Linked DNA regions of Mus musculus. The protein of the gene in region 2 binds, or shares a complex with, the protein of the main gene of each other region. Links are inferred from orthologs where the notes say so. Each region holds a gene or a part of one and is shown on either strand. Other genes may lie near its edges.

The links. Proteins that work in one complex are often made in the same cells at the same time.
Region 1: the proteins of Kidins220 (region 2) and Xpr1 are in contact, whole or in part, in a cryo-EM structure (PDB 9JXQ), measured with the Homo sapiens proteins. The link is inferred for Mus musculus from reciprocal best matches to the Homo sapiens genes KIDINS220 and XPR1. Residues at the interface, in NP_065789.1 of Homo sapiens: Glu36, Cys37, Gln39, Asp70, Trp72, Met102, Trp105, Trp110, Tyr113, Lys114, Val138, Ile142, Trp143, Gly146, Arg147, Ser166, Asp167, Lys168, Tyr169, Gly170, Trp176, Arg179, Lys180, Gln198, Glu199, Gly200, Ala201, Ser203, Lys234, Arg267; in NP_004727.2 of Homo sapiens: Leu95, Lys189, Lys190, Gln193, Glu197, Ala200, Asn204, Glu205, Ala636, Asp637, Asp638, Leu641, Leu642, Gln644, Met645, Met646, Asp647, Gln648, Asp649, Asp650, Val652, Arg653, Asn654, Arg655.

Annotation. Positions count from the first base shown.
Region 1 is NC_000067.6:155,312,256-155,318,034, forward strand, and holds part of Xpr1 (xenotropic and polytropic retrovirus receptor 1), read right to left. Parts: intron 1,107-5,779; coding exon 916-1,106; intron 684-915; coding exon 504-683; intron 1-503. UniProt on the Homo sapiens protein: Inorganic ion transporter that mediates phosphate ion export across plasma membrane.
Region 2 is NC_000078.6:25,008,494-25,014,272, reverse strand, and holds part of Kidins220 (kinase D-interacting substrate of 220 kDa), read right to left. Parts: coding exon 5,581-5,779; intron 4,202-5,580; coding exon 4,061-4,201; intron 3,379-4,060; coding exon 3,135-3,378; intron 2,774-3,134; coding exon 2,685-2,773; intron 977-2,684; coding exon 832-976; intron 1-831. UniProt on the Homo sapiens protein: Promotes a prolonged MAP-kinase signaling by neurotrophins through activation of a Rap1-dependent mechanism. Provides a docking site for the CRKL-C3G complex, resulting in Rap1-dependent sustained ERK activation.

The DNA of each region.
Region 1 (5,779 bases), on a different chromosome or scaffold from region 2:
TATAAGAATGAGGTAAAAATAGACAAACCTTTAACAAATAAACACTTTATAGGAATTCTACAATTATAGGTAATCTAAGATAATACTGACATAAATACAGTATAAAGTGACCTTGGACTTCTGATCCTTCTGCCTTGAACTCCTAAGTAAGGAATTTCATGATACTACTATGCCTGGCTCTCTTTTCTTTAGAAAGAAAAAAAAAGGTCTATATATTGCCACACTGGTTAACTAATCAAAATGTATAAAATCAACTCACTATCTGGTCACTTTATACTTCATTTTAGGATGGAAAAAAATGTCAAGCACTTTCCCAGGGCTGCCACGTTTAAACTTTCAAGGTTATCTGGTATCCATCAGAAGCACCTGCTCCTGAAGCTGGGACCACTCACACGGTGCGATGTGCCTCTGAGGCTGTGCAATCCAGCAGCCGTGTGTGGCATTGGAGGAAGCCAATGCTAATGCACTATTCTAAAAATGTTGTATGCACCTTCTAGACTTACCAGAAGTTTGAGCAGCCAAAATCTGGATTTATAGTAGAAAGTTTTGGTGGGGTTGATAAGAAAGAAGACCATAAACCCATAAAGGGCTAGTGGATACACATATATAGGGATGATACTAATTGGAGCGAAGAAGCATGCCAGAAGGCTCAGGCACCACAAGATCCCCAGGAATCCAGCAATCTATAAAGTACAAGGAACACAAAAGAGAGAAAGTTACTTCTTATCATTACACAGAATAATCTTTAATAAACAAAAATAAGAAAAAACGATGAACAATCCAACAATCCTCAAATGGGAGATGGACTTGAGCAGGCATCAGATCGGCCACTCAGAGTGGAGTACACTCATGAGACTCCCAGTGAGTCGGCCATTCACTTAGTGAGGACACACTCACAAGACTGTGCTTCATTACCTCAAAGAGATGCTGATGAGACAAATTGTTTCTTGGATTAAGTTCAAAGATGAGGACATGATTTACTCCAGCTTGTCTCCAACCATATGTGTTGATGCCCAGTAGAAAAAGGAATTCAATCAGAAGAAAGCCACCCCGATAGATTCTTATCAAGGGCCATACAGTTCTATCTGTTTCAAGTTTAAATACAGCTGAAAGAAAATATAATGGTTAGTTATGAAATCTACAATGTTCCCTTTAATTATCTTTTCTCTTCATTCTCTGAGACACAGCCCTATACTGGACGTTGCTACAGAGACAATCTGCATCTAGATTATCTTAGGAGTCTTGCCCCGAGGTGCTTTTTCTGCCTCTCTGCTCTGAAAAGTGCAATTAGAACAAGTTCTCTCAAAGCTTTTTTTATCATGTTATCCCATTGATCTATAAGTTTTTAATTTTGTTTTGTTTTCTAAATTATAGGACAACAGGGTTAAAAGGCTTTGAACAGTAAAACCAGCTTTTGTTTTTGTTTTGAGATGTGCAGTCGTGGCTATTCTAGAACATGCTATGTAGGCCAGGCTGGCCTCAAACTCAGAAATCCTCTTGCTTCTGCCTCCTGTGTGCTGCTGGCATTAAAGATGTGCACCACCATGCCTAGTATAAGACTAGTTTTGTCAATGGGAGCTTCTTGTATGGTACATCCTCTTCAACATTGCTTTCACTGGCTACATTAACTCCTATCTCACAGATTTGTTGCAAAATGAAAAGACACAAAACACAAGAAGACAATGAGAAAATTTAAATGCCATATAAATAAATCATAGTCAACATGTATAGAATGCTTAATAAGGTGAGGACTTAGTCTTATTCCTGGTGCTATTCTATGTAATAGTTAGTCTGAATCAGTATAATTGTTTTGTGAATTTAAATTACTATGTCTATGTTGACTGAGAAAACTGGAGCACAGATAGGTTGCGTAATTTGCTCTGGATTATTGATGTATATGTAAATGTAGCCTTTGGTTGGCCTGGCCTTGAACTTGAAGGAGCCCACTTGCCTCTACCACCACACCTTTATAACTGCAATCTTTATAACTTTGTACAAAGCTGGTGCTCTCAAGTACTGTGTTGCTCACATGCCCATTCCAACACTCAGTACCATCTCTACTCTACAGCTTTCTTAGAGTTATGATGTTCAAATCCTTCAGCTCTGAGATCTCAGCTCTTACTAATTTGCAACTTACTTTTCCCAACCCCATCCTACAACACTCCCAGTAACCGGCATGATACATCACATTTTTATAAAAGTGAGTTTCCCCAGCACCTACTGTGTTTCTTTCATTTCATCTCTACCAAGTTATACTTACTTAATTTAAACAACCATTTATTATTTATAAAAATATTTAATAACTTAAAAGCAACAGGGTAGAGAAAGTGCTTGCTTTGCAATCAAACATATAAACCAGATATCAAATCTTAGTAGGATAAATTATTTAATTTAGAGAGCCAGCAGAGTCAAGATTAGTTAAAAAATTAGAAAAGTAGAAAAACACATTTGTAGCTTTATATTATGAATCCTAAGACACCAGATATATTACAAAATATAGATGATTCCAAAGAATCCACAATAAACCTGTGAGAGTTAGTAGCTTCAGCAAAGTTGCAGAACACAAAGTCAATCAACACACAAAATTCAGTGGTGTGTGTGTATTATATATATATATATATATATATATATATATATATATATAAAAGCAATAAGCAATCTGAAAATAAAATTAGGAAAGCAATTTTAATTATAACAGTATCTAAAAGAATTAAACATTTAAGCTGGGCAGTGTTGGCGCATGCCTTTAATCCCAGCACTTGGGAGGCAGAGGCAGGTGGATTTCTGAGTTTGAGGCCAGCCTAGTCTACAGAGTGAGTTCCAGGACAGCCAGGGCTACACAGGGAAACCGTGCCTTGAAAAAAACAAAACAAAACAATTAAACATTTAGTAGTAATTTTAACCATGGAGGTCAAAGGCTCACATGTCAAGAGTAAGAAAACATTTAGGAACTAAAGTAGACTGAAGTATATAGAAAGAAATGCCACGGTTGCTGACTTGCTGAGACTTGATATTGCTAAGATGGCAGCATATCAATCTACACATTTCATGCAATCCCTATCAGAATTCCAACAGCCATTTTATTTTCAGAAAAAAAACAAAACAAAACAAAACAGAACAGTCAAACCTCAGATTTACATGATAAAAGGTCTCCAATAACCAAAATAGTAATAAAATATTAATAGTTGGAAAATTCATACTCAAGTTTTGAATGTACTATAACAGCACAATAATCAAAACAGTGAACAAGGGTATAAAAATGATTTATACACAAATAGAAAAGGATTGAAAAACCCCAAATAAACCATATATCTATGGCCAACTGACATTCAACAAGTGTACCAACATCCCATCCCGCGGGAAAAACATACTCTTCAGCTAGTGCCAGGACAACTAGGCATTGAAAGAAAGAAAGAAAGAAAGAAAGAAAGAAAGAAAGAAAGAAAGAAAGAAAGAAAGAAAGAAAGAAAGAAAGAAAGAAAGGAAGGAAGGAAGGAAGGAAGGAAGGAAGGAAGGAAGGAAGGAAGGAAGGAAGGAAGGAAGGAAGGAAGGAAGAGAGAAGAGAAGAGAAGAGAAGAGAAGAGAAGAGAAGAGAAGAGAAGAGAAGAGAAGAGAAGAGAAGAGAAGAGAAGAGAAGAGAAGAGAAGAGAAGAGAATTTTCTAATTTCTACAATACAGACAAAAATTATTTTCTTTTTTCTTCGAGACAGGGTTTCTCTGTGTAGCCTTGGCTGTCCTGGAACTCACTCTGTAGACCAGGCTGGCCTTGAACTCAGAAATCCACCTGCCTCTGCCTCCCGAGTGCTGGGAGTAAAGGCATGTGCCACCATGCCCAGCCAAAAATTATTTCAAAACTGAGAATAAGCTGGGCATGGCAGCACGTGACTTTAATCTCAACACTTGGAAGGCAGAGGTAGAACACCAGCCTGGTCCACAGAGTGAGCTCAAGGCCAGCCTGATGAGATCTTTTTTAAAAGACCTTAACACATGAACTAAAACTATTAAATATTCGTTGTGAAAAAAAAAAAGATAAATCAGCACAATGTAGTATTTGGCTGTGTGTGTGTTTATGTATTTACATATGTGTGTGTGTGTGTGTGTGTGTGTGTGTGTAAATAAATATAAAAAAGAAAAAATCAGATAATTTGAACAAAAAATTCTTAAGAATGAAAGAAAAATTCTTCTGGGGGACTGGAGAGATGGCTCAGCAGTTAAGAGCACTGACTGCTCTTCCAGAGGTCCTGAGTGCAATTCCCAGCAACCACATGGTGGCTTACAACCATCTGTAATGGGTTCTGATGCCCTCTTCTGGTGTGTCTGAAGAGAGCAACAGTGTACTCACATATATAAAATAAATAAATCTTTAAAAAAATTCTTCTAGTTTCAGACAAAAGCAAATGTGGGCAAAAGATTTAGTCATCCAAAGAATACATAAATGACTAACAAGCCTAGGAGAAATTGAAATGATTAGTTATTAGGAAAATGCAAATTAAAAGAATAACAAAATACCTGACATCCACTTGGATGGATTTAACAGAACCCTCATACATTACTGATAGAAATGGAAAGTGGTATAACCGCTATAGAAAACAATAAGGTATTTGTCTATAAAGCTAAACATGCCCCGAGCCTACACACCTGAGTTCCAATTCTGGCCCCAATAAGAGGAAAGAACTCACTGGGCTAAGTCACCATACAGGTGTTTTCTGACCACTATCTGTGAGCCACAGCGAGCACATGCCCATGTCCCCCAGTATAATAATATAAACAAACGAACAAATAAAAAATGTTAACTTAGAAGAAGCAAAATATTTATGAATGGATGAATGGATAAACAAACTGTGTGTGAATGACGTATTGAATAATGCCACAACATGAATGGATGTTGAAAACATGCTAAGTGAAGAAGTCATATACAAATACATATATACATGTTCACAATGAAGATTTCAGTTACATGAACCATTTAGAATAGGTACATCCCTAGAGTAGAAATAAGACAGTAGTTGTCAACAGCTGGAGCAATAGAAATCTGTGACTGAGCTTCCCTTTAGGATGATAAAATGTTTAGGTAGACTGTGCAGCAATGCTGAGTGCTTATAGTGAAATAGTTCATTTTGAGGTCAAGGAAATGGTTTAGTGTAAGCAAGCATGAGGAAGTGAGTTTGCACCATATAAAAGCAGGCATGGTCCTAGCTGCTTATAACTTAGTGCTGCACCATGGAGCCAGGTGAGCCTGGCCTGCTCACTAACCAGCAGTCTAGCAAAATGACTAGCTTCAAGTTCAGAGAGCAACCTGGCCTAAGGGAATAAAGCAGAGAATAAGAAAGACACCTGTCATCCTCTTCTGGCCTTTGTATATGCTACATGCTGGGTATACCTATACACATGCATACAACACACACATATATGCACAGAGAAAGAATGTTAATCTATGCAATTCTTCTGTGAAGCTTAAATGTTTAAACGGTTTACCACTCACAGATTTGCTGTAACATTCCACAATTATCTGTCTAGTTAACATCTATGGTCATAGTTTTAGGATACAAATATTTATGATCCATATTTCTACATATGAAGAAAATTGTCATGAACAAGAAAATATAATGCATAGTCATGAAATATATATATATATACATATATATATATATACACACACATACATACATACACATATACTTAGAAAGACTATGTTCTACTTGAACATACAAAATAAACAAAATACTTCTAATTAATATGACTGTTTATGTTGGTCAGTTTTTATTGTCAACTTGACATA
Region 2 (5,779 bases):
ATAATACAGTTTACGTCAGGAGCCCTAAACTTAGTATAAAATGCAATTCCAATTGACAGAGTCAACACTAGGAAACACCAGAAGGTACCAAGCAATACCATGTAAGGAAAGACACACATTCTAGAAGTTAAAATGCAAGTGTGTCTATGACTGCTCTCATGCTAATTAGCCTTAACATACAGAAGAGCAGCGTCCACACAAAGAATTCAGTCATAGCAATAAGCTCCTTTTTGGGGAATGGGGCAGGCTTGGGAGGTTCGAGACAGGGTTTCTCTGTTTAGCTCTGGCTGACCTAGAGTTCACTCTGTAGACCAAGCTTGCCTTGAACCTGATCAAAGATATGCCTGTCTCTGCCTCCAGAGTGTTGAGATTAAAGATGTGGGCCACCACTGCCTAGCTAATAGTCTCCATTGTATTACAAATATTTTTATTCAAATTATCATAGAAAAACTGAAATAATATGGCAGTATATAAAAATCTGAATTTCAGCACAAATATTAATGTGCTCAGTTATATAAATTATATAAATTTAGCCTAAATATAAAGTAAAAGAACTTTAAAATGATGAACTTTTAAGATAAATTCCCAAGTGATATCAGATTGTCAAGTACTATTACAAAAAAGTTACTACTATCATCTACCACTACCAACACAGCTCACACTCAAAGTGCTCTGTTAACGTTAAAACTTATGGTGAGTCTGGGGGTGCAACTCAATAGCACAACATTCACAGAGCTTGCACAAGCCCTGAGTTCAATGCCTACTATCTCAAAACAATATAAACAAAATAAAACTTATTATCTGTCACAGAACTTGAAAAACAAAAGTCACCTGTCACCGAAACAATATTGAGTAACCGTCTCATGGTTTGTGGACTGATGTCACTGAACCAATCCTCAGTAACCAGCAGCTTTGTGAGATCAAAGGACATCTGCCTCGTGATGGTTCTCTGCATCTGCCTTCTGCGGTAAGTATCCTGAAACAACAGCACCAGTGAGAAACACCCATCCTTGAGAGTTAACATGCACGCTTATGGTAAGACCAACAAAACAGACTGCAGAGCCAACTCAGTGGGTAAGAAAAGCAGAATTCACAATATTAACCAAAGAGAAAGATTGCAGGCTAGTCAAGTACAGTCACTTCTGAGGCACTTTCCAGAGCAATGACTCAGTAGAGTTGGCAGGCAGGCATCCCATGTGTTAGAGAAAACGTAATGTCTCAGATAAGAAGTGCACAGAACTCTGTAAAGAAAATCACGGTCAAGCTCCATAAAGCCTCGTACTAGGAGCCATAAAACAATAAAGCAGGTAAGTTCCTTCATGGTTCTAGGGATTCAGCATCTCTATTTTTAGGGTGTTTTAAAGTGTAACACGATTTTATCCCAGGCACAGCCACTCTTAACTTCCCTGGCATTTCCTCAAAGAGTTGAAGGCACCCTGTAGAGTGGGCTGGAGTGGCTAAGGTATCCCACTCCTAAGAGAAGAACACTCCCCCGAGTCCTGACGCATGGGAAAGGTAGATGAAACCATAGGTCCCCAAGAACCTGGGCTGCCAAGAGAGAAATCCAACATGCAGCATCACACACCCCCCTGACCTTGGCGCTATCATTTGTCACTCATATTATCTCTGAATTCATATCCTGCAAAGCATGTGGGCACAAAGCCAAAGACACAAGGTTTAAAAAGTAATGCCCCCCCCCCAAAAAAAAAGCTGGGCGTGGTGGTGCACACCTTTAATCCCAGCACTCAGGAGGTGGATTTCTGAGTTTGAGGCCAGCCTGATCTACAAAGTGAGTTCCAGGACAGCCAGGGCTATACAGAGAAACCCTGTCCCGAAAAACCAAAACCAAAACCAAAACCAAAACAAAACCAAAGTAATGTCCAGATGGTAGCAAACAAGAAAACAGGCAATGCCAGTATGAGCCCACGTCAGCCATCCGTAAGTGACATTATCAGCAAAGCTCCCCTGCCTGTGGACACCTTCCCACTTTACAAGCCTAAATAAATACACCTGGTTTTGCTCTACAAATAAGATGGGTGGACAGAGAGACTGAAGCACTGAACCAGAAACCCAGGGAGACTGGGAAGGGCCCTGAATCACACCTGGGCGTGGAGACTACAATCCAGACCTTGTAAACATTGGGCAAAGAGAAAGAACCTAAAGAGATTAAAAAAAAAAAAAAAAAGTAGGGCCGGCACCTGCTCAGGAACGAACGTGAGGCCACGATCATTTGCTGGCTAGGAAATCTTACTACTTAGGTGCAGAGTCAGCAGTGATCTGGGAAGAGGCTGCGGGGTGGGGGCCTCCTCCCTGATGAAGGTCTTTACCCTCCAGGCAGCTCTGAGGCAGCTGACGCTGAAAGGGAGCTCCGCACCGACCTCAAGAGCTTAGCTTCGTGTTTGCCTTTACAGGAGAACACTAGGCGTTGATTACAGAGAACACTAGGCGTTTACAGAGTACACTAGGCGTTGTTTACAGAGAACACTAGGCATTGTTTACAGAAGAACACTAGGTGCCACAAACTTAATTTTATTTGAATGACTGCTAAAAAAATAAAAATCAGAGTCAGGATATAGCTAAGTGGCAGAATACTTGCCTAGCATGCGGAAGGCTTTGAAAGGCTCAACCCCAACACTCTAAGGAAAATTCAATCACACCATTAAACGGCAGGAATGGCACCTTACCCTTCTGTTGAGGGCCGTTTTGCTACCAAGCTTTGTCATCTCCCCAAGGCTGTTCTGTGAAACTCTTCTGTCAGCATCCTCCTGCACTCCTGGAAGAAAGCATTGGGACAGCACTGTGGTGGTTAAAATGAGTTTCTCCCAGAGCCTCCTGTGTCTGAACACTGGGCCCCACTTGAGGCTGCTGCTTGGGAGGCTTAGGGGATGAGGCTTGCTGCAGGAAGTGTGTCCCTGGAGATGCCTTTTGAGAGTTTGAAGATGTATGCCTTTGTGTTTGCTCTCCGTTTCCTACTTGCAGTGTAAGATGGGAACTCTCAGCTTGCTACTCCAGCCCCACTGCCACGCTTCCCGCCATAACGGTGCTGAATTCTTATCCCTTTGGAGCATAGCTAAATAAACCCCTCCTTCTACAAGCTGCCTTCAAGCTTGAGCACTCTAGGGCTTGATACTTACCTGTTGCTTCTGAGCACGAAATGTCCCCATTTGTTGCTGAAGTTACAAGAAATTTTCTTGCATTGCTAAGCCCACGACTATTAAGGAAAACTGGTAAATGAACTATATTGCGCATATAGTCATGTCCATTTATATTTGAATCACGAAGCACACTATTCAGGTTCTGGTTGATGGCCTTTATAATAATATGTGGATCACTTGCAAAAATGGCAATAAAAGGGCCCTTTGAAAACAGAACTCGGACCTGTGGTAAAAGAAAGGTATGGACGTGATGCGAATTTTTAAATTATACAAGAAATATCTTTTTTAAAATATGTACTATCCTTTGGTGCTATATTTTTAATATCATTCATTTTTTCATCAAAATTTATTCTCTATATATACAACTTTTATAGATGGCTCAATCTTAGATTGCTATCATCTACCCACAGTGACACAACTAACAAAGGGAACTGCTAATGTGGGTTCCTCCCCAGACACCTGCAGCTTACACAGAAGTAAGATCAACACATGGCAATTTCCGGTGAGCACATGTGAGTTCTGCATACTCAGTTAACCACTGTTGTTTATAACAAACCTCAGATCACAGCACTACAAATTCTCCTGGTCCCCTCTGTCCTCTCAGAGGACAAACATGACTGCTGCATACTGAGCCACACTTGTCACTCAGAGATGCTCTCTGTGAGGTTTTGCTGTGTTTTCTTCCTAAAGTGCCATCAGGCTGAAATGACTTAATCGTTCTTGATCAAACATTAACTTTTGCTATAATTCTGAATTTTAAAACATAGTTCTTGTGAGCGAGAGATTCACTAGAGAAAGCAGAGTTTCTTAAATAAGCAGCACAGTTTTCATCCCACTGAGATAGTTTGTGAAGTCATGCATCCCACGTGGCCACAGTGACAAGTGTGGAGACAGCGGAAACGTACAGTGTCCAGCATCTGCAGCACTTTATCTTGCTCACAGGCGTCCAGGCCGTCAATGATAACCACCAGCCTCGTCTGATTCTGCGTGAAGCTGTCGATGGTCTTGGCCATCCTGGCCATCAGCTCCACCTCACACTTCAGGACCTGCACAAGGCACAGAAGACACCAGAAGATAAGGCACATCCCTTTAGAAGCACAAGAGAAATCCATCCAATGGAGGAAAAGAAATCCCTTCAGGGTTTCAGGCATTTAAACCTGTTGTAGGGGTTTCAGTTATGACTGATAGCACTTGATTCTCAGGATGTCATCAAGGGATGCTATGATAGGAATTTACAGACTACAGAAGAGGTTGAGAGACTTACTTGTCAAAACTAAAGACTATGAATGACAAAAACCTTGGACTTGAATTCCACCCAAAACACCTACTGGTGGCTGCACTACTCTTGGCTCCTTGATGGCATCTAGTTTTTAACAAAGTTAAATATATTCAAGCTATAAGGCTTAGTAGTTACAATTCTTGGTATTTACTCCAAACTTAAAACTTACTTACTAAAAACTTACATCTACACAAAAACCTGAGCACAGATACTTATAGCAATTTTATTTATAACTACTAATATTTAAATCAACAAGATATATTTCTGTGGGAAACTGAATAAACGTACACTCTTCTTCCAGGCAACAATATTATTCAGGCCTAAAAAGCAATGCAATTGTAAGCTACAAAAGGGATGAAAGAAACCAATATGACAGGGCTACATGCTACATGGTTGCAACTACATGACATCATGGGAAAGACACAGATACTGAGATAGTGAACTCATCAGGGTCTGACTGGAGCTGGGAGAGACAGAGGCTGAACAGAGGAGGCAGGCACTTTCATGGCAGTAAACATACTGTAATCTTGGGTATGTTATCAAGCATTTGTGCAAACCCAAAGAACACACAGCACTAAGACTGAACCTAATGTAAACTGTGGACACTGAGTCTATGACGAACCAATGCAAGTCCATCAACTGAACAAATATAGCACTCCTTTGACAGGTATTGATAACAGAGGCTGTGCACAAGATACATGGGGTAGCTGGAGAGATGGCTCAGTAGTTAAGAGCACTGACTGCTCTTCCAGAGGTCCTGAGTTTGGACCCCAGCAATCACATGGTAGCTTACAACCATCTGTAATGAGATCTGATGCCCTCTTCTTGTGTGTCTGAAGACAGCTCCAGTGTACTTACATATAATAAATGAATTTATTTTAAAAACTAAAAAAAAAAAAAAAAAGATACATGGGGTATATATGGAGTTTGCTATAAGCCTAACAAACTAATTAAACTAAATTAAATGCAATAGACTTGGAGTCTTAGGGTACTTGCCTGGTATGCACAAGTCCCTACTACTGAGCAAATAAAAACAGAACAACAACAAAACCCTTGAACGTAACTTTTAACATTTCGAGAGCATGCTCAAGTCAGCATGGGGACAGCAGCATATTCCCACTAGTTTATCTAGTGACAAGTTCTTACTTTCATGAATCCTTCACTTTTCAGCTTATGTAATTTGGAGGCAGCACTATGGAGGCGTTTTCTCTGAGAATTCAGGAGAGAGTCCAGCACTTGCCACCATGTTCGACAGTTCAGCACAAAGGCCAACCCCACGATAGATGCAATGGATATGAGGATAGCATTCACTGTCAGATGTTTTGGGTCAACTCGGAATATAGCC